Linked DNA regions of Anolis sagrei. The protein of the gene in region 3 interacts with the protein of the main gene of each other region in a pairwise test. Links are inferred from orthologs where the notes say so. Each region holds a gene or a part of one and is shown on either strand. Other genes may lie near its edges. The genes, in order: BRMS1, METTL17, CEP70 and SYTL4.

Region 1 (6,899 bases), on a different chromosome or scaffold from region 3:
CACAAAAGCACAGTATGTCACAGCAAATGAGATCTCTATGCTGGATTTCGTATCACAAAATCACAAGTCGAACACTTCCCAAGCGTCTAGGACTGTATGATATATTTTCGAATGATGCGCACAGATCCAAGTAAGGTCGCCTTTTGCAGTTGACAGTGATTTTGTCAATATTATTATTATTATTATTATTTGATACACAACAAGATTAGTACACAGCAAACAAGACCACACTGCTGACTGTTGTATTGGATCACACGTCGGACATTTCCCAAGTGTCTAGGACTGTGTGATGTATCGGCAAATAATGCATGCAGATCCCAGTAGGGTGGCCTTTTGCAGCTGGCAGGTGGCAATTTTGTCAGCGCCAATTGTTTTTAAGTGCAGGCCAAGGTCTTTAGGCACTGCACCCAGTGTGCCGATCACCACTGGGACCACCTTGTCTGGCTTGTGCCAGAGTCTTTGCAGCTCGATCTTTAAATCCTTGTATCGTGTCAGCTTTTCCAGTTGCTTCTCATCAATCCTCTCTTAGTCATTATGTTTGGTTTCTATTTCTGTGTATACTATCTATATGCTTTGATGTTTTATATTTTATTGTTATGTTGTTTATTTTAATGCAATTTGTATTTTTGTATTGTAATTTGTTGTTCGGGCTTGGCCCCATGTAAGCCGCTCCGAGTCCCCGTTGGGGGAGATGGTGGCGGGGTATAAATAAAGCATTATTATTATTATTATTATTATTATTATTATTATTATTATTATTATTATCCTGCTGTCGCCTGGGATTGCAACATCGATCTATACTGTTTTTTCCCATAATCGTGAGGTCAGGAGTATTGTGCTCCAAAACTCTGTCTGTCTGAATCCAGAAGTCTTAGAGTAGCTTGATGTGTAACTTTTTCAGGCTAGTTATTATTATTATTATTATTATTATTATTGTTATTATGTTTTAAATATTTTAAAAACATAATACATTTTATTTGTAAATCATTATTATTCTTAAAAGTTATTAAAGAGTGGCATTGCATATTATTTTAATAATATAAATATAATATTAATATTGATTTGCTGTTGTTGTTGTTCATTCGTTCAGTCGTCTCCGACTCTTCATGACCTCATGGACCAGTCCACGCCAGAGCTCCCTGTCGGCCGTCACCACCCCCAGCTCCTTCAAGGTCAGTCCAGTCGCTTCAAGGATGCCATCCACCCATCTTGCCCTTGGTCGGCCCCTCTTCCTTTTGCCTTCCACTTTCCCCAGTATCATTGTCTTCTCTAGGCTTTGCTGTCTTCTCATGATGTGGCCAAAGGACTTCAACTTTGTCTCTAGTCTCCTTCCTTCCAATGAGCAGCCGGGCTTTATTTCCTGGAGGATGGACTGGTTGGATCTTCTCGCAGTCCAAGGCACTCTCAGCACTTTCCTCCAACACCACAGCTCAAAAGCATCGATCTTCCTTCGCTCAGCCTTCCCTAAGGTCCAGCTCTCACATCCGTAGGTGACTACAGGGAAGACCATGGCTTTGACTAGGCAATGGATCTTGGTTGCCAGTCTGATGTCTCTACTCTTGACTATTTTGTCGAGACTGGACATTGCTCTCCTCCCAAGAAGGAAGCGTCTCCTGATTTCCTGGCCACAGTCTGCATCTGCAGTCATCTTTGCGCCTAGAAATACAAAGTCTGTCATGGCCTCCACGATTTCTCCCTCTATTTCCCAGTTGTCAATCACTCTTGTTGCCATAATCTTGGTTTTTTTGATGTTTAGCTGCAACCCAGCTTTTGCGCTTTCTTCTTTCACCTTGATTAGAAGGCTCCTCAGCTCCTCCTCGCTTTCGGCCATCAGAGTGGTGTCATCTGCATATCTGAGGTTGTTAATGTTTCCTCCAGCAATTTTCACCCCAGCTTTGCATTCATCAAGCCCCGCACATCGCATGATTTGCTGTTATTATTAATAATAATAATACTCATTTCCAGCTTTTTTAATGACCTGCAGGATTTATTCTGCATACGTTGAAATAATATGAGAAGTCAAACTGATATAGATATTCTCTCTCTCTCTATATATATATATTTAAATTATTTTAAACATATTTAAAGATATTTAAATTATTCATCTCCAACTTTTAATGACTTGCAGGATTATTTTACATATTGTAAACCATTATCATCATTGTTTATTGGGTTAAACCCCTGTGCCGGCAGGATTGAAGACTGACAGGTCGCAGGATCGAATCCAGGGAGAGGCGGATGAGCTCCCTCTATCAGCTCCAGCTCCTCATGCGGGGACATGAGAGAAGCCTCCCACAAGGATGATCAAATCTTCTGGGTGTCCCCTGGGCAACGTCCTTGCAGATGGCCAATTCTCTCACACCAGAAGCGACTTGTAGTTTCTCAACTAGCCTATTTGAGCTCCCAAAGAAATACTGCATTTATATACCTGAATAGGAACTGAAATATGTATTCTCCCTTAACTTGGAGAGGTTTAAACTGGCCTCCCAGATGCCACTGAACTACATCTCCCATCAACCATAACAAAGAGTGAGCCTTAGCAAAAAGTGATAAGAACAGAAGTCCTGAAGATCTGGAAGGTCCTGCATTGCCCACCATTCAAAATAATCAGTATCCTCCCCCTGATTTCAATGGACTCGTCCAACTTCTCCTAGGATTGTCCTGGAGGAACAAACCATTAAACATTTCAAAGGGGGAAGAGTGTAGTAGTATTATAGCCATACACATATATAAACCCCCCTTTGTCCGAGTTGTAATGGACTGGCCCTTGGCTTTCTCATTGGGAAATGGATAAGGCTGGAATGGACGATACCAACTTCACCGATAAAAAGGGGGGTGATGGGGAAAATAGCCGGGACCCCTTATTACCTGGGGGAGGAGCCGAGGAGGACGCAAACGCCGCTCAGGGCTCCCGCAGCAATCGGAAGTCGGCTCCGCTTGGCTCCGCCCACCGGCGCTAGCCAATCACAGCGGACTTTGCCTTGCGAAACGATAACGCCATCCACTGCACTTCGCTCACAACTCTGGGGTCCTTCGCGTAGAATTGTGGGCAGGCGGAAGCGGAAGGCGGACAGTTTCCATAGCAACGAAGCAGAAAGGAAACAAAACAGGCCCAGCCAGTTTTTTTCTGGGACAAAAAATAAAATAAAATAAAATAAAATAAAATAAAATAAAATAAAATATAAAATATAATACAAAAATATAAAATATAAAATAAAATACAAAAAATATAAAATATAAAATATAAAATAAAATAATATATTTATTATATTATTATTAGAATAATATATTTATTATATTATTATTAGAATAATACAATATAACAATATATCCAACTCTTTGATCTATGATTCTATGAATAATAATATAGTATAATAATACAATTATTATATTTTTATTTATTATAAATATAAATATAAATAAATATTTGTTTTAATAATAATAATTTAATAATATATTATTAATAATGACTTATTAATAATATAATGCACATACGAAAGTTATGTGTGTTAATATCTCAGTGCATTATTTCGGATTATGTTATTATTTGAAATAACATAATATAATGTAGTATAATAAATAATAATATAATAAATATAATATATGATTCTATGATAATATATTTTTGTATTGTTATTTATTATAATAATATATTATATTATGTTATTATAGTATTATGATATAATATTATAATATCAGATTATTTTATTATTATTTGAAGTAATTTTAATATAGTATAATGTAGCATAATATATAATATATTATAGTGTAGTATAATAAATAATAATATAATAAATATATGATTCTATGATAATATATTTTATATTATTTATTATAATAATATAATATTATATTATTATAATATTTTGATATAATATTATAATATCAGATTATGTTATTATTATTTGAAATAATGTAATATAATGTAGTATAATAAATAATAATATAATAAATATAATATATGATTCTATGATAATATATTTTTGTATTGTTATTTATTATAATAATATATTATATTATGTTATTTCAAATAATAATAACATAATATGAAATAATGCCCTGAGATAATATTAACATACATAAGTATCGTATGCGCATTATATTATTCTTATTAAAACAAATATTATATTTATTATATTATATTTATTTATATCTTGCTTTTTCTCTCTGAAAAGAGAGAAAGCAATATTGTAATATTATTATTATTATTATTATTATTATTATTATTATTGAAGATAGGAAATGTCCAAGCAGCCAGCGAGTCCTGGGGGCCTGCGAGCCAGCCTTTCCTATTGTCTTTGATTGGCTGTAATAAATGTCAATGTCTGGCAAGCCTGCCAGATTTGGATTTTCTGGGTGCTGAGATATAGAAACAATGAGGGAATTTTGGCTGAAATTTCAATGGAAGGAGATTTAAATGAGTAACAGATCAGGACAAAGGGTGGCTTTCCAAAGGCTTCCTTTGTCCTATTGAGATAGGATCATTAATGTCAAGCGACCGCCTCCCTTGGGGGGGGGGGGGGCAACTACGTGGCCCAGGGGTCACGATTCATTGTTATTTTCCATGTAAGAAATGTCTTTTGATAAGGTTCTTTTTCAACTGAGGATTTCCTCCTTTCCAGGGTCACAGGGTTGCTTCTTATATTTTTATACATTTTTTCGATAAAGGGGAATTGGGCAAAAGGGTCAGGAAAAGGTAAGGTACACAGGGAGAAATATAGAAATATAGAAATCATCATACAGAAAACATACCCACTTATCCCTCCCACCAGAATCATAGAATCATAGAATCAAAGAGTTGGAAGAGACCTCCTGGGCCATCCAGTCCAACCCCATTCTGCCAAGATGCAGGAATATTGCATTCAAATCACCCCTGACAGATGGCCATCCAGCCTCTGTTTAAAAGCTTCCAAAGAAGGAGCCTCCACCACACTCCGGGGCAGAGAGTTCCACTGCTGAACGGCTCTTACAGTCAGGAAATTCTTCCTCATGTTCAGATGTAGTTTGAAGCCATTGTTCCGTGTCCTAGTCTCCAAGGAAGCAGAAAACAAGCTTGCTCCCTCCTCCCTGTGACTTCCTCTCACATATTTATACATGGCTATCATATCCCCTCTCAGCCTTCTCTTCTTCAGGCTAAACATGCCCAGCTCCTTAAGCTGCTCCTCATAGGGCTTGTTCTCCAGAGCCTTGATCATTTTAGTCGCCCTCCTCTGGACACATTCCAGCTTGTCAATATAGAGTCCCATAGAAGTTCAAGAGAGTACATAAGTGTAACGGGAGGTGGTTTCTCAGTAATAAACCTGTTACCTTCTGCTATATATGAAACATAGGGCATAAAAGCTTCATTAAATGTACATGTGAAGGACATACATTGGGTTGTTAGGTGTCTTGTGTCCAAATTTGGTGTCAATTCGTCCAGTGGTTTTGGAGTTATGTTAATCTCACAAACGTACATTACATTTTTATTTATATAGATCGGATCACCTGAAGGTGCCCGCCTCAGATGTAGGCGAAACACCAGGAGAAAATGCTGCTAGAACATGACCATACAGCCCGAAAACCACACAACACCCCAGAAAATGGGAGATTTACGCTGCAATGTTCAGATGCAGCCACTCGAGGGAGCCTATAGGCTAGAACGGTGCCAGGTATGCTCTAGGAATATTTTTTTTGGAGGCTTTGCCCATAAGATGTTAAAATAAATAATCACCCCCTTCTGTCTCAGTCTTAAAAATTTTCTTTTTAAAAAGTCTTCCAGAAAAAAAAGAAAGTGTTGTAGTCATACCCTTCTGCTTTCCTGAAGAATAATTTTGTACTGTTTCCCTGCATGATCTCTCTCTATAAAAGTCTGTATATATGTTGGTTGGTTGGTTTGTATCTATAGGGCTTGGTGTCTCTGGACCAAACTTGGTAACTTATTGTTATTATCAGTTGTTATTATCATCAAGGCAGGGAGTTTCAGAAAAACATCTACTTCTGCTTCATTGACTATTCTAAAGCCTTTGACTGTGTGGATCATAATAAATTGTGGCAAGTTCTTGGTGGGATGGGCATCCCAAGCCCCCTTCCCTCTCTCCTGAGGAATCTGTACAAGGACCAAGTAGCAACAGTCAGAACTGACCACGGAACAACAGACTGGTTCAAGATTGGGAAAGGCGTCCGGCAAGGCTGCATCCTCTCACCCAACCTTTTTAACTTGTATGCAGAACACATCATGCGAGGATGTGCGGGGCTGGATGAATGCAAAGCTGGGGTGAAAATTGCTGGAAGAAACATTAACAACCTCAGATATGCAGATGACACCACTCTGATGGCCGAAAGCGAGGAGGAGCTGAGGAGCCTTCTAATCAAGGTGAAAGAAGAAAGCGCAAAAGCCGGGTTGCAGCTAAACGTCAAAAAAACCAAGATTATGGCAACAAGAATTATTGACAACTGGAAAATAGAGGGAGAAACCGTGGAGGCCGTGACAGACTTTGTATTTCTAGGTGCAAAGATTACTGCAGATGCAGACTGTGGCCAGGAAATCAGAAGACGCTTACTTCTTGGGAGGAGAGCAATGTCCAGTCTCGATAAAATAGTGAAGAGTAGAGACATCAGACTGGCAACCAAGATCCATTGCCTAGTCAAAGCCATGGTCTTCCCTGTCGTCACCTACGGATGTGAGAGCTGGACCTTAGGGAAGGCTGAGCGAAGGAAGATCGATGCTTTTGAGCTGTGGTGTTGGAGGAAAGTGCTGAGAGTGCCTTGGACTGCGAGAAGATCCAACCAGTCCATCCTCCAGGAAATAAAGCCCAACTGCTCACTGGAGGGAAAGATACTAGAGACAAAGTTGAAGTACTTTGGCCACATCATGAGGAGACAGGAAAGCCTAGAGAAGACAATTATGCTGGGGAAAGTGG
Region 2 (6,925 bases), on a different chromosome or scaffold from region 3:
CAAAACACCTGGAGGACCAAAGTTTGCCCATGCCTGGTCTACTGTATAAAAAGTATTTTGGGTTAGGGCTGCTGGTAAATCGTCAGCAATTATAAGATCTATCAACCAAAAAGTTGCAAGTTTGAAGCCCCGGGTTGGCATGAGCTGCCAACTGTCATCCTAGCTCATTGTTTACCTAAGCAATTCAAAAACAGCTTTAGCTGTGATTAGTGAAATTAGGTACTGCTAAATGCAGGGAAGGTGTTTTACAACGTGATAAAGAAAGATCAGAAAATGCTGGGTGACCAAAAGGAAGGAGGAAGTCCTGACAGCTCTTCATCATAGAGGATGGAGCAACAGTTCCCCCTGGACTCAAGCCCAACCTTCCATGGCACCAAAAACAGCTGAAACAAACCACCTCCTTTTGTTCTGTCTGTCTGTGTATTGTCTATACAAAGCAGCATTTAATGTGATCCACCCTGAGTCCCCTTTGGGGTGAGAAGGGCGGAATATAAATAAAGTGTTGTTGTTGTTGTTGTTGTTGTTGTTGTTGTTGTTGGGAAGTTTGCCCATGCCTACCTATACCGATCTGCTGTAACCCACTTTCCCTTTTCTGAATCCAGCCATGATGCTCCCTCTGAAAAGAGCTGAGACGCTGATGCTCATCCTGGTTCTCGCCTGCGTGATCGCCAGTGGGGGCTCCTCCCAAAACCCTCGGCACGAGAAATTCTGGAGGCAGCACCACGACTTCCCTCGCACAAACATGGCCGGGCAGGACTACTGTGGGACCATGATGCTCCGCCGCGGGATGGCGAGGCCTTGCAAAGACACCAACAGTTTTGTTCATGTGCCAAAGAACCAGCTAAAGGATATCTGTGGCTGGGCTGGAACCCACTACCGCCGGGCATTGAGGATTAGCAGGGAGCCTCTCCATGTCACCACCTGCAAGCTTCAGGGGACGTTGCGGGGCCAATGCCGCTACTGGTCCCACACAGGCCAAAGACACATTCACATTGGCTGCGATGCATCAGGATGGCCGATCCGGTTTGAAGAGACCAATTTTATGTAGCTTCTTGTATGTCTCCTGTTTCCAAAAACAGCATAAAATAATGGGCAAACTCCTTGCAAACAGATATTTCTGTGTTGTTGTAAGTTTTTCAGGCTGTATGGCCATGTTCCAGAAGCATTCTCTCCTGACGTTTCACCTGCATCTATGGCCGACATCCTCAGAGGTTGTGAGGTCTGTTGGAAACTAGGAAAATGGGGTTTATATATCTCTGGAATGTCCATGATTAGGGTTAGAGTTAGGGCAACAGAACCCCACTGACTTTGAATCTTCCTAACCCAAAATGCTTTTTATACAGCAGACCAGGCATGGGCAAACTTGGGCCCTCCAGGTGTTTTGGACTTCAACTTCCACAATTCCTAACAATTCCTCCCATAATCCCTAGGAATTGTGGAAGTTAGAGTTCAAAACACCTGGAGGACCCAAGGTGTTTACAGTGGACTAAATTCATTGAACTCTCAAGCAACCAACCAGAACTTTCAAGCAACTGGCAAAAAATTGAATAAATAATATTTTAGATTTTTTTAAAAAAAAATGTTTCTATAATACAGTAAAATAGTGTCACATTAAGTTTGTCTTTATTTACTTTTAATTACTGTGTTTCAATATTAATATCAAGTCAATAGAGTTTATGGTATAGTGTGTAGCATAGTATTAGTTAGGCCAGTAACTTACAACCAAACAGAAACTGTTCATCCAGCATCTACCAATCCCCACGGGTGACGGTTAACTTAGTGTATATTGCACATAGTTGTAGAGTATCACTGTATGCAAATGTCATGGCTGTTTTGTACCATTTAGGATTTTTATAAAGTTTCAATACGCAGTAGCATAGTATTAGTTAGGCCTACTTTTAACAGTAACTCTCAAGCAACCAGAAATGATGTTTATCCGGCATTTATCAATCCCCATGGGTGATGGTTAACTTAGTGTATATTGCACATAGTTGTAGAGTATCACTGTATGCAAATGTCATGGCTGTTTTGTACAATTTAGGATTTTTATAAAGTTTCAATACGCAGTAGCATAGTATTAGTTAGGCCTATTTTTAACAGTAACTCTCAAGCAACCAGAAATGATGTTTATCCGGTGTTTATCAATCCCAATGGGTGATGGTTAACTGAGAGTCTATTTCACATAGTTGTAGAGTATCATTGTATGCAAACGTCATGGCTGTTTTATACCATTTAGGATACTTATAAAGTTTTCAACTCGTAGTAGCATAGTATTAGTTAGGCCTATTTTAACAGTAACTCTCAAGCAACCAAGAACTATGTTTATCCAGCGTCTACCAATCCCAGTTGGTGACGGTAGCCCGAAAAACATAGCCCAAAAAAACCTACAACAACTCAATGTCATGGTTGTTTTGTACAATTTAGGATGTTTATAAAGTTTCAATACGCAGTAGCATAGTATTAGTTAGGCCTATTTTTAACAGTAACTCTCAAGCAACCAGAAATGATGTTTATCAATCCCAATGGGTGATGGTTAACTGAGAGTTTATTGCACATAGTTGTAGCAGAGTATCACTTTATGAAAATTTAATGGCTGTTTTGTATAATTTAGGATACTTATAAGGTCTTCAACACAAATAAATATAATTGATCCCAGTGTCGTTTGGCTGTGTTACTAATGTAGTCTGCAGTGTAAATTATTAGGGGGTGCATCTACACTGTAGAATGAATGCAGTATTTATTTTATTGATTTATCGTGTCATGAGCAACCATTGTATTACAATTCTAACAGAGCAAAACAAACACAGAGATTAAAAAGAAAAGAAAAAAAAGGGGGGGGGGAAACCCCACACAGATTTTGCAAATTTGGTATTTGGTTAAATGTCCTTTGACCAGTATCTGGCCACTTGGAGTGCCTCTGGGGTTGCCGCAAGAAGGTCCTCCCTTGTGCATGTGGCAGGGCTCAGGGTGCATAGCAGCAGGTGGTCAGTGGTTTGTTCTTCTCCACACTCGCATGCCGAGGATTCCACCCTGTAGCCCCATTTCTTAAGATTGGCTCTGCATCTCGTGGTGCCCGAGCGCAGCCTGTTCAGCGCCTTCCAAGTCGCCCAGTCTTCTGTGTGCCCAGGGGGGAGTCTCTCATCTGGTATCACCCACGGATTGAGGTGCTGGGTTTGGGCCTGCCACTTTTGGACTCTCGCTTGCTGGGGTGTTCCAGCGAGTGTCTCTGTAGATCTAAGAAAACTATTTCTTGATTTAAGTCGTTGACGTGCTGGCTGATACCCAAACAGGGGATGAGCTGGAGATGTCTCTGCCTTGGTCCTTTCACTATTGGCTGCCACTTCCCGGCGGATGTCAGGTGGTGCAATACCGGCTAAGCAGTGTAATTTCTCCAGTGGTGTGGGGCGCAGACACCCTGCAGTTCAACACCACTTTGACTGCTATGTAATTCTGGGAGTTATAGTTTTGCATGGTCTTTAGTCTTCTGTGCCAAAGGAGGCTAACCATTTGACACCTTACAGGATTAAGAAAAAAACCTGTCACTTGGCTTTCTTTCCTACGTTTGCTTAAGTTCTCATTTGCCTTACTTCTGAGATTGAAAAAAATTGATTTGCCAAAGTAACCTATTGGGAATCGAACTCACTTCTCCACCATCACAGTCAAACGTACTAACCACTACACCACGCCCACTCTCCTCCTAAAGTTGTCCTTTCCAGCAAGTGAGATCCGATGACGTCAGAGGGGTTACGAAAACCAATCAGCGGTTCTCTCTCCCTCCCCGCTCTTGCTCGCCGACTAGAAAGAAGCTGAACAGGAACGATGAAAGGGACATATGCGCATGCGTATTATTCCCCTGTCGCTTGCTTCCTTCCTTCCTTCCCAAGATGGTGGCTAGAGAGGGCTCGAGAGCGCTTTTGCGCCTGCGCAAGGGGGAAAACGAGACCTTCCCAACATGGCGGCGCCCAGGCGTTTGTGGCAGGCATGGGGTTCCTTCAACAGCAGCGTTCCTGGCACTGCTTTGGCTTTCAGGGTGAATATTTTATTTTCTCAATTTTGTTTTCTTATTCTCCACCCTGTGATGTGTGTCCGTTATGAAAGTTGTATGTAGAAGCTTATTTATTTGTTTATCGTGTCATCCGCAACCAGAACATTGTATTACATTTATTTACTTATTTACTTATTTACTTTGCTTATATACCGCTGTATCTCAAGCCCGAAGGCGACTCACAGCGGTTCACAAACAGTAGAAACAGCAGTGGTTCCATACAACATATAACAATTGACTTAACACATTATCCATAAATTACCAATAAGCAATTACAATGCACAATTATTACAAAAAACAACCGTACCCAATCTTCTCATCATCCAAGCGTAGTCCAGGTTCCTCGTCCATTGTTCCATTCCTATGTTCCATTACCAGATTGCACTAAATTACTCAAACGCCTGCACAAACATCCAGGTCTTCACCTTTTTGTGGAATACCATTAGAGATGGTGCAAGTCTAATGTCTGTAGGAAGGGCGTTCCACAGCCAAGGAGCCACCACTGAGAAGGCTCTATCTCTCGTCCCCGCCAACCGTGCTTGAGAAGCCGGCGGGATCGAGAGCAGGGCCTCCCTGGAAGATCTCAAAGTCCTGGTGGGTTCATAGGCCGAGATGCAGTCAGAAAGGTATCTTGGGCCGGAAACGTTTAGGGCAGGGACCCTCAAACTTTTTAAACAGAGGGCCAGGTCACAGTCCCTCAAACTGTTGGAGGGCTGGATTATAATTTGAAAAAAAAAACATGAATATATTCCTATGCACACTGCACGTATCTAATCTGTAGTGCAAAAAAAAAAACACCTAAAACAATACAATAATTAAAATGAAGAACAATTTTAACACATATAAAGTTATTAGTGTTCCAATAGGAAGTGTGGGCCTGCTTTTGGCAGATTAGATAGGATTGTTGTTGTTGTTGTGCGTTTTCACGTCATTTCAGACTTGGATTGACCCTGAGCAAGGGTCGGGTAAATGACCTTGGAGGGCCGCATCCGGCCCTCGGGCCTTAGTTTGAAGACCCCTGGTTTAGGGCATTTCTAAAAGAACAGAACAAACAAACAGATTAAAAAAAAACACAGATTTTGCAAACTTGGTACTTGATTAAATGTCCTTTGACCAGTATCTTGCCACTTGGAGTGCCTCTGGTGTTGCCGCAAGAAGGTCCTCCATTGTGCATGTGGCAAGACTCAGGTTGCATCGCAGCAGGTGGTCAGTGGTTTGCTCTTCTCCACACTCGTATGTCGAGGATTCCACCCTGTAGCCCCATTTCTTACGATTGGCTCTGCATCTCGTGGTGCCAGAGCGCAGTCTGTTCAGCGCCTTCCAAGTTGCCCAGTCCTCTGTGTGCCCAGGGGGGAGTCTCTCATTTGGTATCAGCCATTGGTTGGGGTTCTGGGTTTGAGCCTGCCACTTTTGGACTCTCGCTTGCTGAGGTGTTCCAGCGAGTGTCTGTAGATCTAAGAAAACTATGTCTTGATTTAAGTCGTTGACGTGCTGGCTGATACCCAAACAAGGGGTGAGCTGGAGATGTCTCTGCCTTGGTCCTTTCACTGCAACTTCCCGGCGGATGTCAGGTGGTGCAATACCGGCTAAGCAGTGTAATTTCCCCAGTGGTGTAGGGCGCAGACACCCTGTGATAATGCGGCATGTCTCATTAAGAGCCACATCCACTGTTTTAGTGTGGTGAGATGTTTTCCACACTGGGCATGCATACTCAGCAGCAGAGTAGCATAGCGCAAGGGCAGATGTCTTCACTGTGTCTGGTTGTGATCCCCAGGTTGTGCCAGTCAGCTTTCGTATGATATTGTTTCTAGCACCCACTTTTTGTTAGATGTTCAGGCAGTGCTTCTTGTAGGTCAGAAAACGGTCCAGAGTGACTCCCAGGTATTTGGGTGCGCTGCAATGCTCCAGTGGGATTCCTTCCCAGGTAATCCTCAGAGCTCGGGATGCTTGTCTGTTCTTAAGGTGAAAGGCGCATGTCTGTGTTTTAGATGGATTAGGGTTCAGTTGGTTTTCCCTGTAATAGGCAGTTAGAGCACCTAGAGCTTCGGAGAGTTTCTGTTCAACCATCTCAAAGCTCCCTGCTTGAGCAGTAATGGCACGATCTTCAGCATAGATGAAACTCTCTGTCCCTTCTGGCAGAAGCTGCTTTGATTCGGATTAACTGAATCCGAAGTAATTGAAACAGCATAACTGGCCCTCGTTGTAAGTCGTCAAGGAGATTTTGGGCAGCAACTCCTGTCAGCAAATTCTGGACTCAAGGATAATACTTTCACGGCCAAGGAAGTCTTGGGATTTGTAGTTTGGTGAGGAGATAAAGTTCTCTGGGTGATGATTCTGAATACAACCCTTTAAGGTGTCACCATGGCAACTAAAGTGGGATCATAGAGTGATAACTGTACAGCAGGCATGGGCAAACATGGGCCCTCCAGGTGTTTTGGACTTCAACTCCCACAATTCCTAACAGCCGGAAGGGCCCTCCAGGTGTTTTGGACTTCAACTCTCACAATTCCTAACAGCCGGTAGGCTGTTAGGAATTGTGGGAGTTGAAGTCCAAAACACCTGGAGGGCCCAAGTTGGCCTAAGCCTGCTGTAAAGTGTGAACATGACCTACATGTTGTCACTTTGCCATTTGGTCCTTTCATAATCGCTCTCAGGCTGGATTGGATTGACACTGCCATGAGTCGCCCAAGGGCTGAGAAAAGCGGTATATAAATGAAGTTAATAATAATAATAATGTGCTCCAATTGCCTAAACTTGTGCGCCACCTTAAGAAGCCAGACTTGGCCACGGTTGTCCATTCTCTTGTTACATCTCGATTAGATTACTGCAATGTTCTCTATGTGGGGTTGCCTTTGAAGACTGTTTGGAAGCTTCAAGTAG
Region 3 (7,765 bases):
AAGGTCACTCTTTCCCGAGACTGCTATGCCCATATTCAGTCAGCTTTATGAAAAGATGCAACTGGATAGTCTATATACTTTAACAATGTCAGGGCCCTGATCTAAGCAGCCCTGCGTCCCCTAGGGGTGAGAAGGGTGGGGTATAAATATTGAATAGTAATAATAATAATAATAATAATCTGTCTGCTGACTGGTGTTGTCTAGTCTAACTGTGACAACTTTTTTCACCAACACTTAAAATGAATGGAAATGTTGTCAGTTGTTACAAATTGCGGGTTTAATAGAGGTGCTACATAGACCAGGAACAAGGCTGGTGCTTGCCCTAACCATTAGAAAGATGTGTGCTGATGTTACATTTACGAAAGGGGCTGAGATGGTGGAAGCTGATGAAGAGGGAAATGACAGCAATATGTTTGTCAATAATTCCATTTTATTCAATTTGTGTCTCACCTTAGTCCACTAATTTAAAGCAAAATAAAAATGCATGTTCATACCATAAGCACAAACAGAAAAAGGATACTGTTAAATGTGAATAAAGTGTCACTGTTTGAAACAAATGGATTAAAAACACATTTGATAAAAATCAATAGAATAGCACAACATAAAAACACTTATAGCCACTTCCTTGAAGTCTGCTGGAATAGAAAATATGCCACTTCCCAATTAAACAAGAGCTACCTTAAAAGTGAGCACCTTAGTCATGCCACAACTTTAAATGCCAAAAGCATGTAGGAAAATATTTCATATGTATTTAGTTCAATTTTTATTCAAGGTATTCTAGATATTTCTGCATAGAGCTCACCAGCATTTTGAAATAAACTGAATGAAAGTGAATCTACATAGATTCAAATTCGGCAAGTGGTGCTTTTTAAAGTAATGTTTCTGTATTTGTTATATTCTTGATTAATATGAAATACCAAACACTTATCACTGCGTTTGTTTTTGTCACATTCTTTCATGCTGAAATAAAAAAAAGTTTTACATCTACAGAAAGGAGATTACGGTGGTAGATTCCTCACTTTCAAAAGAACGGTATGATTTGAGGACACAAAAGTAGGATTTTGTTTCTAGGATACCGAAACATGAACACAAACACATAGGATCACATAAACTGGGCGAGCTTCCTACGGTCTTTTTAGCTACCTAAAAGACACTTCCTACATATTTTTGGATGAAGTAGGAATATGAGCATTTGACAGTTGACACAAGTTGAGTATCCCTTTATCCAAAAATACAAAACGCTCCAAAATTATCCACCTGGGTGGCTGAGCCAGGGACACCTTTGTTTTCTAATGAAACTGTTATTTTGTACTGTATTTAATATGTTGGAAGCCACTCTGGGGCCCTTTGTGGGAGAAAAGCAGGATATAAATTAAAATTTGTTATTGTTGTTATTATTATTAATTAGAAACACAACAAGCTGAGTCCACAGCAGACAAGATCACTCTGCTGGCTGTTGTATTGGATCACACGTCAGACACTTCCCAAGTGTCTAGGACTGTGTGATGTATCAGCAAATAATGCGTGCAGATCCCAGTAAGGTGGCCTTCTGCACCTGGCAGATGGTAATCTTGTCAGTGCCGATTGTGTTTAAGTGGAGGCCAAGGTCTTTAGGCACTGCACCCAGTATGCAGATCACCACAGGGACCACCTTTACTGGCTTGTGCCAGAGTCTTTGCAGTTCGATCTTTAAATCCTCATATCGTATCAGTGAATAATGTGTGCAGATCCCAGTAAGGTGGCCTTCTGCAGTTGGCAGATGGTAATTTTGTCAGCGCCGATTGTGTTTAAGTGCAGGCCAAGGTCTTTAGGCACTTATTATTATTAACTGAGTTCCATGATATAAAATATGGTGCATAACAGCATTTCAGAAGCTGTTTACTGGCACATAAATGAATTCCGTGTTTATTGCCTTGGGTCCCATCTCCCAAAATATTGAAGAAGAAGAAGAAGAAGAAGAAGAAGAAGAAGAAGAAGAGGAGGAGGAGGAGGAGGAGGAGGAGGAGGAGGAGGAGGAGGAGGAGGAGGAGGAGGAAGGAAGAAAGAAGAAAAAGAGTAATAATAATAATAATAATCCCAAACACTTCTTCTGGTCCCCACAAACACTTCGAAGAAGGGATACTCAACGGGTGCAAATCACACTGATGCGGTTTGACTCCACTTCCTCTGCCAGGGCTTGATGCTACTGAATTCTGGGATGTGTAGTTTGGTGAAGCACCAGCACTCTTGGCAGGGAAAGGAACTACAGAGTATCTCACTGTGCCACAGCATTGAGCCATGGCAGTTAAAGCGGTGTCAAACTGGACGAGGGGGAAGTTTTCTCTAGGAGGAGGAGGAAGGGGGGGGGAGGGAGGGTCGGGTCTACCTGGCCCTCTAAATCTCGTAGTCTCCCGGAAACGAGGCCTTTCCTCGGGACGGAGCCTGCAGTGCTTCCCAGTCTCTTCTGCCCAGAGCCAGAGCAAGGAGGCCGCCTCCTCCTTCCCTTTCCTCTCCCTGGGGTCACCCTCCTCGCCTTTCCTCCCAAAATGGCGGCGGGGCCTACCTCGAGTGGCCCCTCTGCCCAGCAACGCACCCGCCGAGGCGGACGGATGGAAGTCCTCATCCCCGGAAGTTTTCCCCAGCAGGCCCCGCCCCTTCTCTCGCCCCGCCCCCTCTGGAAACGCCCATTAAGCAGGGGCTCGAGGCTTTCAGGAATTTGGACTTCAACTCCCAGAAGCCTCCGCTGCCACCGCCAATGGCCGGGCATTCTGGGAGATGAAGTCCAAAACCAGACTGGGAAGAGGGTTGCTGTGAGTTGTCCGAGCTGTATGGCCATGTTCCAGAAGCATTCTCACCTGACGTTTGGTCCACATCTATGGCAGGCATCCTCAGAGGTTGAGAGGTTTGTTGGAAACTAGGCAAGTGGGGTTTATACATTTGTGGAATAATGTCCAGGGTGGGAGAAAGAACTCTTGTCTGTTGGAGGCTAGTGTGAGTGTTGCAATTGGCCACCTTGATTAGCCTTTCAGCTTCAAAGCCTGGCTGCTTCCTGCCTGGGGCAATCTTTTGTTGGGAGGTGATTAGCTGGCCCTGATTGATTCATGCCTGGAATCCCCCTGCTTTTCATAGAATCAAAGAATCAAAGAGTTGGAAGAGACCTCATGGGCCATCCAGTCTAACCCTTTGCCAAGAAGCAGGAATATTGCATTCAAATCACCCCCGACAGATGGCCATCCAGCCTCTGTTTAAAAGCTTCCAAAGAAGGAGCCTCCACCACACTCCGGGGCAGAGTTCCACTGCTGAACGGCTCTCACAGTCAGGAAGTTCTTCCTCATGTTCAGATGGAATCTCCTTTCTTGTAGTTTGAGTGCTGTTCTTTATTTACTGTCCTAATTTTAGAGTTTTTAAAATACCGGTGGCCAGATTTTATTCATTTTCATGGTTTCCTCCTTTCTGTTGAATAATATGCTGTGTCCAGGTTGGTTCATCAGGTGTTCTGCTATGGCTGACTTCTCAGGTTGAATTAGTCTGCAGTGCCTAGCATGATTATTGATTCGTGTCTGGGCATTCCCCAGATATATAAATCTCACTTGCCAAGTTTCCAACAGACCTCAAAACCTCCCTGCTGTTAGGAATTGTGGGAGTTGAAGTCCAAAATACCCGGAGGGCCCAAGTTTGCCCATGACTGCTTCCCCATCCATGTTTTCAGTTCCTTTCTAAAGGTTATTAGACAAGGCCTTGAGCCTTCCCTGCCAAAGAGGGCTGGGGTCTCACCAAATCACAACTCCCACGATTCCACAGCATTCAGCCGTAGCAGTTGATGTGGTGTCGAACCGCATTCATCCTACTACAGCACGTTTCTCTCTTTCGCCCTCTATTCATGCCTCTTCAAATCCTAAAGCACTGCTGGTCACAGCTGACCTGGAGCACTCAAGGGCCAGGGCTTCCCAGTTCCCAGTGTCTATGCCAGAGTTTTTAAGGTTGGCTTTGAGCCCGTCTTTAAATCTCTTTCCCTGTCCACCAACATTGTGTTTTCCATTCTTGAGTTCGGAATAGAGCAACTGCTTTGGGAGACGGTGGTCAGGCATCCGGACAACATGGCCGGTCCATCAGAGTTGATGGTGGAGGACCATCGCTTCAGTGCTGGTGGTTCTTGCTTCTTCCAGCATGCTGACATTTGTCCGCTTGTCTTCAGCACAACTCTATACACTAATGCGCCTTAAGCATGCATCTAAACTGCAATTTGGCAGCATTTTAACTTTCCAGAGAAAGTTTAAAAACTCTAAAATCAGGGGGTAGTAAATAAAGAACAATGAAAACAGGGGAATTCCAGACATGAAACAATCAGGACCAACTAACACCTCCCAATAAAGGATTCCCCCAGGCAGCAACCAGCCAGGCTTTGAAGCTGCAAGGCTATTAAATGCTAATCAGGGTGGCCAATTGCAACATTTACATTTGAGAGTAAACAAACCCCACTTGCCTAGTTTCCAACAGACCTTGCAACCTCTGAAGATGCCTATGAGACTCATGAGGTCACCATAACTTCTTGGGTCACTTGAAACATCCTCAAGGCAGTAGATCCTGGCTGATCTTGGAAGCTAAGCAGGGGCAGCCCTGGTTAGTACTGGAGGGGAGGCCTCAGGCAGCTATTTCAGAGGAAGGCATTGGGCTTTCCTTTCTTTGCCCAAGTCGGCTCTGAAATACAAAGATGCCTTCAAGCCCCTCCTTGGGGCGGAAACTGGGGCGGGCTTTTCTCTCCTTCTTGCTTTCCCCTTCCTTCTTTCTTCCCTTCCTTCCTTCCCTTCACCCCTCCTTCTTTCCTTGGAGACCCGCCTATAACGGCTTCTGAGACCGAGGCAAGGAGCCCAGGCCCCGGTATGTACCGCAAGAAGAGGAGAATGATGCGAATTAAGCAGGGAGGAAGGCACTGAAAGGGAAGGAATGCATCTGATACCCCTTTAACTGTGTTAAACGCCCTCTCCTTGGCTGCATACACTGCAGAATGAATGCATCTGAGTCCCCTTTAACTGTCATGGCTCCATGCTGGGAGATGTAGTTCTGCAAAGGCTCCAGCCCTCTCTCCTGGGGAACCACCAAACTACAGCTCCCAGGACCTCATAGCTGTGAGCCATGGCAAGTAAAGTAGTGTCGCTTGTAGAGATGCAGACTTGGTTGGTTGAATGGTTGTCACACAGCCAGGGGATTCAGTCTTCTACACAGCCATCTATTTTATTATATCAGGAGCGAACCAAGGGTACAGTTTGGTTATTTATTATTTACTATATTATTATAGTAAATAATAATTTACTATATTTATTATTTTTATATATATATATATATATATATATATATCTAATAAATAAATATATTTTACTATATTTATTTATTATTTACTATATTACTATTATTATATTGCCCCTCTCAGCCTGCAGGTGACTCGGAGCAGTTTACAGTCAGCATCAAAAACATAAAACATGATTAAATCAATTAGCTTAAATATAAAACCAATTAAAATAGTCAATATCAATAAAAAAAATATATCAATTAGAGTCTCCTTGTTAAAAGCATTGTTAATAGCATCATTCCATTTTTCCTATGTTTGTTATATTGCATCTGCAAACGCTTGCTCAAAAAGCGAAGTCTCCCGGTTTTTTTTTTAATGTTAAAAGGGAAGGGGCCGATCTGATATCCCTACAGAGGGCATTCCATAGCCAAGGGGCCACCACTGAGAAGGCCCTGTCTCTTGTCCCTGCCAAACGTACTTGTGACGAAGGCAGGGCCTCCCCAGATGATCTTAGAGTCCTAGAGGATTCATAAGGGGAGATGCGTTCGGACAGATAAGTTGGGCCAGAACTTGTATTTTAAAACAACACGAAGTTTAAAAACTTTGCGTTGTATTAAATGTCCTTTGACTAGTAGCTGGCCACTTGGAATGCCTCTGGTGTTGCTATAAGAAGGTCCTCCATTGTGCATGTGGCAGGGCTCAGACTGCATTATCTGTGGTTTGCTCTTCTCTACACTCGCATGTCATGGACTCCACTTTGTAGCCCCATTTCTTAAGATTGGCTCTGCATCTCGTGGTACCAAAACAAAGTCTGTTCAGCGCCTTCTAAGTCACCTAGTCTTCTGTGTGCCCAAGGTGGGAGTCTCTCATTTGGTATCAGCCAAGGATTGAGGTTCCAGGTTTTTGCCTGCCACTTTTGGACTCTTGCTTGCTGAGGTGTTCCTGCGAGTATTTCTGTAGATCTTAGAAAACTATTTCTTGATTTAAGGCATTGGCGTGCTGGCTGATAACTGAATGGGATGGGCCGGAGATGTCACTGCTTTCATAGAGCCATGAAAGCCACAGGATCCTCTATGGCAGGCATGGGCCAACTTGGGCCTGCCCTCCAGGTGTTTTGGACTTCAACTCACACAATTCCTAACAGCCGGTAGGCTGTTAGGAATTGTGTGAGTTGAAGTCCAAAACACCTAGAGGGCAGGCCCAAGTTGGCCCATGCCTGCTGTGGAGACTTCACTCTGGCAGCACACCATGGGAGGCTTTATTGCATGGTGTTTGCAAAGCACTTGGTGAATACTTTGCTACACCATGGGCCTTTCAAGTACAGAACATTATAGTATACACCTAAAAACATAAACAAACCTTTTTTTGGTAGTTGTGTAGAAGGAGTTGCCACAAGGATTTGCTTTTAACACAACCAGCTAGCAAAGCTTCTGAAATTCCCTCTTCTACCATGTACACGACTTAACTTGGGAGGATTTGTTGTTTTTACGTGGATTATTTCGGCCTTATTTCTACTGGGAATGTTTACAAAAAGCACATTGTTTGAATTGTTTTGCAAACAAATAATAGTTGATGTCATTTTGTTGCATTTGGTGAACATTTTGATTTCCCACGGGTCTTGTAAGTACAGAATATGACTGTATTCACTTGAGAAGAGTATGAAAATGAGAATATTTTAACATGCACCTGGAAATAATATGACAGCTAGATTAAACAAACGTTTTGTGTATTGTTGAAGGCTTTCATGGCCAGAATCTCTAGGTTGCTGTGATTTTTCTGGGCTGTATGGCCATTTTTTTTCATGTCAGGAGTGACTTGAGAAACTACAAGTTGTTTCTGGTGTGAGAGAATTGGCCATCAGCAAGGGGACGCCCAGATGTTTGATGTTCTACCATCCTTGTGGGTCAGCAATCCTATCGGCACAAGGCTTTGACTCCTGTATGGCCATGTTCCAGAAGCATTCTCTCCTGACGTTTCACCCACATCTATGGCAGGCATCCTCAGAGGTTGTGAGGTGTTTTGTGGTTGTGTTGAAGGCGTAACTTTTCACACAACCAAGTCACCACCACTTCAGAAATCTCCTTGAAACAGCCATGAGAGAGCCAATGTGGGATACTGGTGAGAGCATTGCACTAAAGCTCTAGAGACCAGGGTCTGTATCCTCAACTGTGAAACCCAGTGGGTGATTTTGGGCAAGTCACACTCTCTCACTCTCACAGGAATGCAATGGCAAATACCCTCTGAACAAATCTTACCAAAAGAACACTGTAATCGGTTCATTTTAGGATCCCCATAGGTCCAAAAAAAGTTTTGAAGATATTCAATAACAACAAACACAGTCACGAAAGGTAGAAGAGCCATCTCCAGTTTCCACTCCGGCAATCCTACTTGGAAAAACTGCATTGTCTCACACAGATTGCTCGTTATTTCACCTTTGTTTCTATTGAGAAGGGTAGGATTTCATTAGTGGCACTCATTTTATAGTCAAGAATCATTGTT
Region 4 (7,722 bases), on a different chromosome or scaffold from region 3:
GACTGCACGTTGATTAAGTCGCATTAACCGACTGTCTGTGCAGGGTTCCATACTTTGCACTTTAACAACACAGCCATTCAATGCTAAGGCTTCCCGCCAAAATGGAATTGTAGAGGAGAGTCTACTGAACAAGCCAGTACCTGCCGCATACCAGTACTGCCATCTGTTGAGTTACGAAGGTGGAGGCATTACTTTTCATTCAACCCTCATATGATCACCTGTTGTTCCTCCCCATTAGCCTAAAGGAGAGCAAACTTCCCACCACGATGGAACTGTAGAGGAGAGTCTGCTGAACAAGCCAGTACCTGCTGCATACCAGTACTGCCATCTGTATAGGAGTTACAAAGGTGGAGGCATTACTTTTCATTCAACCTTCTTAGCATCTCCTGCCCTAAAACCTCAGCCGGAAACATACACCAAATTCCCAGAACTGCAAAGAATTACTGCAAAACTTATTTATTGTGTACGAGTAAGACATACTCTACTTTGCTAGAACTGCAAATAAGTAGTGCAAACCTTCTTTATTGTGCCTGTATGCGTAAGACATAACTCCAGTTTGCCAGAATTGCAAAGAAGTATTGCAAAACATTTATTGTGCCCGTAGGGGTAAGACATACTCCAATTTGCCAGAAATACAAAGTAATACCAAACTTCATACTTCAGTTTGCTGGAACTGCAAAGAAGTGGGGCAAAACTTCTAATTTATTGTGTCTGAATGCGTAAGACATACTCCAATGTGTTGGAAGTGCAAATAAGTACTGCAAAACTTCTAATTTATTGTGTTTGTATGAGTAAGGCATACTCCAATGTGTTGGAAGTGCAAATAAGTACTGCAAAACTTCTAATTTATTGTGTTTGTATGAGTAAGGCATACTCCAATGTGTTGGAAGTGCAAAGAAGTACTGCAAAACCTCTAATTTATTGTGCCTGTGTATGAGTAAGACATATTCCAATGTGGTGGAAGTGCAAAGAAGTACTGCAAAACCTCTAATTTATTGTGTCTGTATGAGTAAGACATACTCCAATGTGTTGGAAGTGCAAAGAAGTACTGCAAAACTTCTAATTTATTGTGTCTGAATGCGTAAGACATACTCCAATGTGTTGGAAGTGCAAAAAGTACTGCAAAACTTCTAATTTATTGTGTCTGTATGAGTAAGGCATACTCCAATGTGTTAGAAATGCAAAGACGTGCTGCAAAACTTCTAATTTATTGTGTCTGTATGAGTAAGACATACTCCAATGTGTTAGAAATGCAAAGACGTGCTGCAAAACTTCTAATTTATTGTGTCTGTATGAGTAAGGCATACTCCAATGTGTTGGAAGTGCAAAGAAGTACTGCAAAACTTCTAATTTATTATGTCTGTATGAGTAAGACATACTCCAATGTGTTAGAAATGCAAAGAAGTGCTGCAAAACTTCTAATTTATTGTGTCTGTATGAGTAAGGCATACTCCAATGTGTTAGAAATGCAAAGAAGTACTGCAAAACTTCTAATTTATTATGTCTGTATGAGTAAGACATACTCCAATGTGTTAGAAATGCAAAGAAGTGCTGCAAAACTTCTAATTTATTGTGTCTGTATGAGTAAGACATACTCCAATGTGTTAGAAATGCAAAGAAGTACTGCAAAACTTCTAATTTATTATGTCTGTATGAGGAAGACATACTCCAATGTGTTAGAAATGCAAAGAAGTGCTGCAAAACTTCTAATTTATTGTGTTTGTATGAGTAAGACATACTCCAATGTGTTGGAAGTGCAAAGAAGTACTGCAAAACTTCTAATTTATTGTGTCTGTATGAGTAAGACATACTCCAATGTGTTAGAAATGCAAAGAAGTACGCAAAACTTCTAATTTATTGTGTCTGTATGAGTAAGACATACTCCAATGTGTTAGAAATGCAAAGAAGTACTGCAAAACTTCTAATTTATTGTGTCTGTATGAGTAAGACATACTCCAATGTGTTAGAAATGCAAAGAAGTACGCAAAACTTCTAATTTATTGTGTCTGTATGAGTAAGACATACTCCAATGTGTTAGAAATGCAAAGAAGTGCTGCAAAACTTCTAATTTATTGTGTCTGTATGAGTAAGACATACTCCAATGTGTTAGAAATGCAAAGAAGTGCTGCAAAACTTCTAATTTATTGTGTTTGTATGAGTAAGACATACTCCAATGTGTTGGAAGTGCAAAGAAGTACTGCAAAACTTCTAATTTATTGTGTCTGTATGAGTAAGACATACTCCAATGTGTTAGAAATGCAAAGAAGTACGCAAAACTTCTAATTTATTGTGTCTGTATGAGTAAGACATACTCCAATGTGTTAGAAATGCAAAGAAGTACTGCAAAACTTCTAATTTATTGTGTCTGTATGAGTAAGACATACTCCAATGTGTTAGAAATGCAAAGAAGTACGCAAAACTTCTAATTTATTGTGTCTGTATGAGTAAGACATACTCCAATGTGTTAGAAATGCAAAGAAGTGCTGCAAAACTTCTAATTTATTGTGTCTGTATGAGTAAGACATACTCCAATGTGTTAGAAATGCAAAGAAGTGCTGCAAAACTTCTAATTTATTATGTCTGTATGAGTAAGACATACTCCAATGTGTTAGAAATGCAAAGAAGTGCTGCAAAACTTCTAATTTATTGTGTCTGTATGAGTAAGACATACTCCAATGTGTTAGAAATGCAAAGAAGTACGCAAAACTTCTAATTTATTATGTCTGTATGAGTAAGACATACTCCAATGTGTTAGAAATGCAAAGAAGTACGCAAAACTTCTAATTTATTATGTCTGTATGAGTAAGACATACTCCAATGTGTTAGAAATGCAAAGAAGTTCTGCAAAACTTCTAATTTATTGTGTTTGTATGAGTAAGACATACTCCAATGTGTTGGAAGTGCAAAGAAGTACTGCAAAACTTCTAATTTATTGTGTCTGTATGAGTAAGACATACTCCAATGTGTTAGAAATGCAAAGAAGTACTGCAAAACTTCTAATTTATTATGTCTGTATGAGTAAGACATACTCCAATGTGTTAGAAATTTATTTATTTATTTATTTATTTGATGCACTTATTAACCGCCATTCTCAGCCCTTACGGGCGACTCATGGCGGTGTACAGTACACATAAAAAGACAGTTACAAAGGCCAGTATCAACAACATATAACTATACGACAAATACAAACTACATAAAAATCCGCTTCGTCTCTTAGTAGAATCATAGCCAGTCTCATCTTCCTTATACCATTCCAGTTCTCATTACCGTAATGTTGTTGCTTAGCACTTAATTAAATGCCCTCTCGAACAGCCAGGTCTTAAGGCTTTTTCGAAAGGACATGAGGGAGGGCGCCTGTCTGATGTGTGCCGGGAGAGTGTTCCACAGCCGGGGGGCCACCACCGAGAAGGCCCTCTCCCTCGTCCCCGCCAGCCGTGCCTGTGACGCAGGCGGGATCGAGAGAAGGGCCTCCCCAGACGATCTCAAGGTCCTCGTGGGCTCGTAGGCCAAGATGCGGTCCGAAAGGTATTTTGGGCCGGAACCGTTTAGGGCTTTGTAGGCCAAGACCAGCACCTTGAATTGGGTCCGGTAGCAAATCGGCAGCCAGAAATGCAAAGAAGTACTGCAAAACTTCTAATGTATTGTGTCTGAATGCGTAAGACATACTCCAATGTGTTAGAAATGCAAAGAAGTACTGCAAAACTTCTAATTTATTGTGTCTGTATGAGTAAGACATACTCCAATGTGTTAGAAATGCAAAGAAGTGCTGCAAAACTTCTAATTTATTATGTCTGTATGAGTAAGACATACTCCAATGTGTTAGAAATGCAAAGAAGTGCTGCAAAACTTCTTATTGTGTCTGTATGAGTAAGACATACTCCAATGTGTTAGAAATGCAAAGAAGTGCTGCAAAACTTCTTATTGTGTCTGTATGAGTAAGACATACTCCAATGTGTTAGAAATGCAAAGTGCTGCAAAACTTCTAATTTATTATGTCTGTATGAGTAAGACATACTCCAATGTGTTAGAAATGCAAAGAAGTGCTGCAAAACTTCTTATTGTGTCTGTATGAGTAAGACATACTCCAATGTGTTAGAAATGCAAAGTGCTGCAAAACTTCTAATTTATTATGTCTGTATGAGTAAGACATACTCCAATGTGTTAGAAATGCAAAGAAGTGCTGCAAAACTTCTTATTGTGTCTGTATGAGTAAGACATACTCCAATGTGTTAGAAATGCAAAGTGCTGCAAAACTTCTAATTTATTATGTCTGTATGAGTAAGACATACTCCAATATGTTGGAAGTGCAAAGAAGTGCTGCACAACTCCTTTATTGTGCTAGTATGAGTAAGGCATACTCCAATTTGCTGGAAGTGCAAGGAAGTACTGCAAAACTTCTTATTTATTGTGCCTGTATGGCAAGGGATGTGTGAGGACCTCCCCTTTGATGAGGCTGCAGTCTCTTACCTGGCCAGCACAGGTAGGTGCTGCAATGCTTTCCAATATAGCATCCACATTGTAGAATTGATGCATTTTGCCACTACTTGCCTAGGTCATGGGATTTTTAGTTTCACAAGGTATTGGGCCTCACGAAGCTGCACTTCAAAGCTGTTAGTAAGGATGGGAGGTCCTGCTGCCGCCCTGGCCACGCCCCCTCCCAGGTGAGGCCACGCCCCCTGCCATCCCAGCCGGGGCGCTGTCCCTTTAAGAGCCTGGCATGAAAAGGGGTGCGGCCCCTTTAAGGGAGCGGCTCCTCCCGGGCCAACGAGGCTCTTTCTCCCTCAGCCTGGAGCAGAGAGACAGGTACTTTTTCTTTCCCTTCCTTTGCATCTGCAAGCTCTTGCCTCCTCTTCCTCTTCCAAGCCTCTTCCCCGCAGCCTCTGAGCATACACAGAGTGCTTTCCTCACTTTATGTCCCTCTGAAGCCACCAAGCTCACCCAGGGTGCATCTACACAGCAGAATTGATCCAGGGTGATACTGCTTTTAACTGCCTGTCTTTGGATTCGTTTTCCATCCCAGTATCTCCCAGTTTCTTTCACTTTTCATCCCAGTATCCTCCCGGCTTTGGGTCAGTTGGCTCTTGTATCAAAGGGTTGCAAACTAATTGATTATTGGGTTGCTGTGAGTTTTCCAAGCTGTATGGGGAATTCCAGGCATGAGACAATCAGGGCCAGCTAACACCTCCCAACGAAGGATTCCCCCAGGCAGGAAGCAGCCAGGTTTGGAAGCTGCAAGGCCGTTCAATGCTAACCAAGGCGGCCAATTGCAGCATTCATACCTAAAACTCTAAAATCATAACAGAAAATAAAGAATAACACTAAAAAGGGGGAATTCCAGACAAGAAACATTTAAGGCCAGCTAACACCTCCCAACAAAGGATTCCCCCAGGCAGGAAGCAGACAGGTTTTGAAGCTGCAAGGCCATTCAATGCTAATCAAGGTGGCCAATTGCAACATTCATACCTAAAACTCTAAAATCATAACAGTAAATAAAGAACGACACTCAAAAACAGGAGAATTCCAGACAAGAAACAATTCAGGCCAGCTAACACCTCCCAACAAAGGATTCCCCCAGGCAGGAAGCAGCCAGGTTTTGAAGCTGCAAGGCCATTCAATGCTAACCAAGGTGGCCAATTGTAACATTAATACCTAAAACTCTAAAATCATAACAGTAAATAAATAACAACACTCAAAAACGGGGGAATTCCAGACAAGAAACAATTAGGGCCAGCTCACGCCTCCCAACGAAGGATTCCCCCAGGCAGGAAGCAGACAGGTTTTGAAGCTGCAAGGCCATTCAATGCTAATCAAGGTGGCCAATTGTAACATTAATACCTAAAACTCTAAAATCATATCAGTAAATAAAGAACAACACTCAAAAACGGGGGAATTCCAGACAAGAAACAATTAGGGCCAGCTAATCATCTGCCAACAAAGGATTCCCCCAGGCAGGAAGCACCCAGTCTTTGAAGCTGCAAAGCCATTCAATGCTAACCAAGGTGGCCAATTGCAACATTCACCTTTGCCTCAAACAGACAAGTGTTCTTTCTCTTATCCTGGATATTATTTCACAGGTATATAAACCTCATTTGCTTAGTTTCGAACACACCTCACAACCTCTGAGGATGCCTGCCATAGATGTGGGTGAAACATCAGGAGAGAATGCTTCTGGAACATGGCCATACAGCTCGGAAAACTCACAGCAGCCCCGTGATTCCAGACATGGAAGCCTTCAACAACTAATGTATTATTATTATTATTATTATTATTATTATTATTATTATTATTATTTATAATCCGCTTTATCTCCCCAAAGGGGACTCAAAGCGGCTATTTCTGAAACTGCCTTGTATTATGTTATATTGTATTATATTTCAGACTCTTTCATTTCACCAGGATTTGTTTCTAAATTACTTTGGAATGTGTAAACCAAGTTGTATCCCTTGTCTTTTAATAGGATACATTTTAATATGTATCTTTTCCAGAAACATGCCCATTATTTATAGAAGTTTTGCAATGTTTACATGTTTTAATTATTCCACAGAGAGAGGCAGGTAACAAACAAAATTATTATTGGGTTGCTGTGAGTTTGGCATGTTCCAGAAGCATTCTCTCCTGACGTTTCACCCACATCTATGGCAGGCATCCTCAGAGGTTGTGAGGTCTGTTGGAAACTAGGCGATCTTTCGGTCAACAAGTTCAGCAGCTCAGCGGTTTAACCCGCTGGACCACCAAAGGCTCCTGCCTATCTATTGAAAAGAGATGTTGACAAGCTGGAATGTGTCCAGAGGAGGGTGGCTAAAATGATCCAGGGTCTGGAGAACAAGTCCTATGAGGAGCGGCTTAAAGAGCATGGCCTGTTTAGCCTGAAGAAGAGAAGGCTGAGAGGAGACACGATGAGGACCATGTATAAATATGTGAGAGGAAATCATAGGGAGGAGGGAGCAAGCTTGTTTTCTGCTGTCCTGGAGACTAGGACATGGAACAATGGCTTCAAATAAATAAATAATAATAATAATTTTATTTATTCATTTATTTATTTAAAATATTTTTATTCCACCCTTCTCACCCCAAAGGGGACTCAGGGCGGAGCACAGCATATATACGGCAAACATTCAATGCCGGAACACATTCTTATATACATACATAAACATTAAAAACATTTATCAAAATATTAAAATACACAGTTTAAAACTGTCCTAGTCATCCACGTTAAATCTAATTGGCCTGGTAATCTTTCCTATTGCTGCTTTATTTCCCTGTCCTGAAATAATAATAATAATAATAATAATAATAATAATAAGTGACATACTGAACTTTTGTACCAGTAAAATAATAATAATAATAATAATAATAATAATAATAATAATAATCTTTCTTTATATCCTGCCACCATCTCCCCAAAGGGGACTCGGGATGGCTAACACCAGGCCAAGCCCAAAGATACAATACAGCAAAATAAAGTGCAAAGCATAACAAAAGTCACATCACAATAAAGTATATAGAGTGGCAAAATAAAGTGAACAAAGCAAAATAGTATAGTAGAAAATTGAATACAAATGGCAGGCCAAATGGAGAAGATAAAATGATAAAACCCTGGATGAGATAGGAGTAGAAAATGTGTATTTGAGAGGAGCCGAAAAAGGTCGAACAGTATGATTAGGTTGTTGTAGGTTTTTCCGGGCTATATAGCCATGTTCTAGAGGCATTTCTCCTGATGTT

Evidence for each region.
Region 1: the proteins of CEP70 (region 3) and BRMS1 interact in binary tests that used the Homo sapiens proteins (3 or more experiments, as listed by UniProt). The two-hybrid records come from large-scale screens. The link is inferred for Anolis sagrei from reciprocal best matches to the Homo sapiens genes CEP70 and BRMS1.
Region 2: the proteins of CEP70 (region 3) and METTL17 interact in binary tests that used the Homo sapiens proteins (3 or more experiments, as listed by UniProt). The link is inferred for Anolis sagrei from reciprocal best matches to the Homo sapiens genes CEP70 and METTL17.
Region 4: the proteins of CEP70 (region 3) and SYTL4 interact in binary tests that used the Homo sapiens proteins (3 or more experiments, as listed by UniProt). The two-hybrid records come from large-scale screens. The link is inferred for Anolis sagrei from reciprocal best matches to the Homo sapiens genes CEP70 and SYTL4.

Annotation. Positions count from the first base shown.
Region 1 is NC_090032.1:9,016,108-9,023,006, reverse strand, and holds the start of BRMS1 (breast cancer metastasis-suppressor 1), read right to left. Parts: upstream 3,026-6,899; 5' UTR 2,869-3,025; intron 1-2,868. UniProt on the Homo sapiens protein: Transcriptional repressor. Down-regulates transcription activation by NF-kappa-B by promoting the deacetylation of RELA at 'Lys-310'. Promotes HDAC1 binding to promoter regions.
Region 2 is NC_090026.1:14,066,771-14,073,695, forward strand, and holds the start of METTL17 (ribosome assembly protein METTL17, mitochondrial), read left to right. Parts: upstream 1-3,904; 5' UTR 3,905-3,952; coding exon 3,953-4,030; intron 4,031-6,925. Other genes in the region: angiogenin-like, read left to right, coding at 605-1,048. UniProt on the Homo sapiens protein: Mitochondrial ribosome (mitoribosome) assembly factor. Binds at the interface of the head and body domains of the mitochondrial small ribosomal subunit (mt-SSU), occluding the mRNA channel and preventing compaction of the head domain towards the body.
Region 3 is NC_090021.1:218,659,147-218,666,911, reverse strand, and holds the start of CEP70 (centrosomal protein of 70 kDa), read left to right. Parts: upstream 1-4,754; 5' UTR 4,755-4,857; intron 4,858-7,765.
Region 4 is NC_090030.1:10,025,917-10,033,638, reverse strand, and holds the start of SYTL4 (synaptotagmin-like protein 4), read left to right. Parts: upstream 1-4,722; 5' UTR 4,723-4,803; intron 4,804-7,722. UniProt on the Homo sapiens protein: Modulates exocytosis of dense-core granules and secretion of hormones in the pancreas and the pituitary. Interacts with vesicles containing negatively charged phospholipids in a Ca(2+)-independent manner.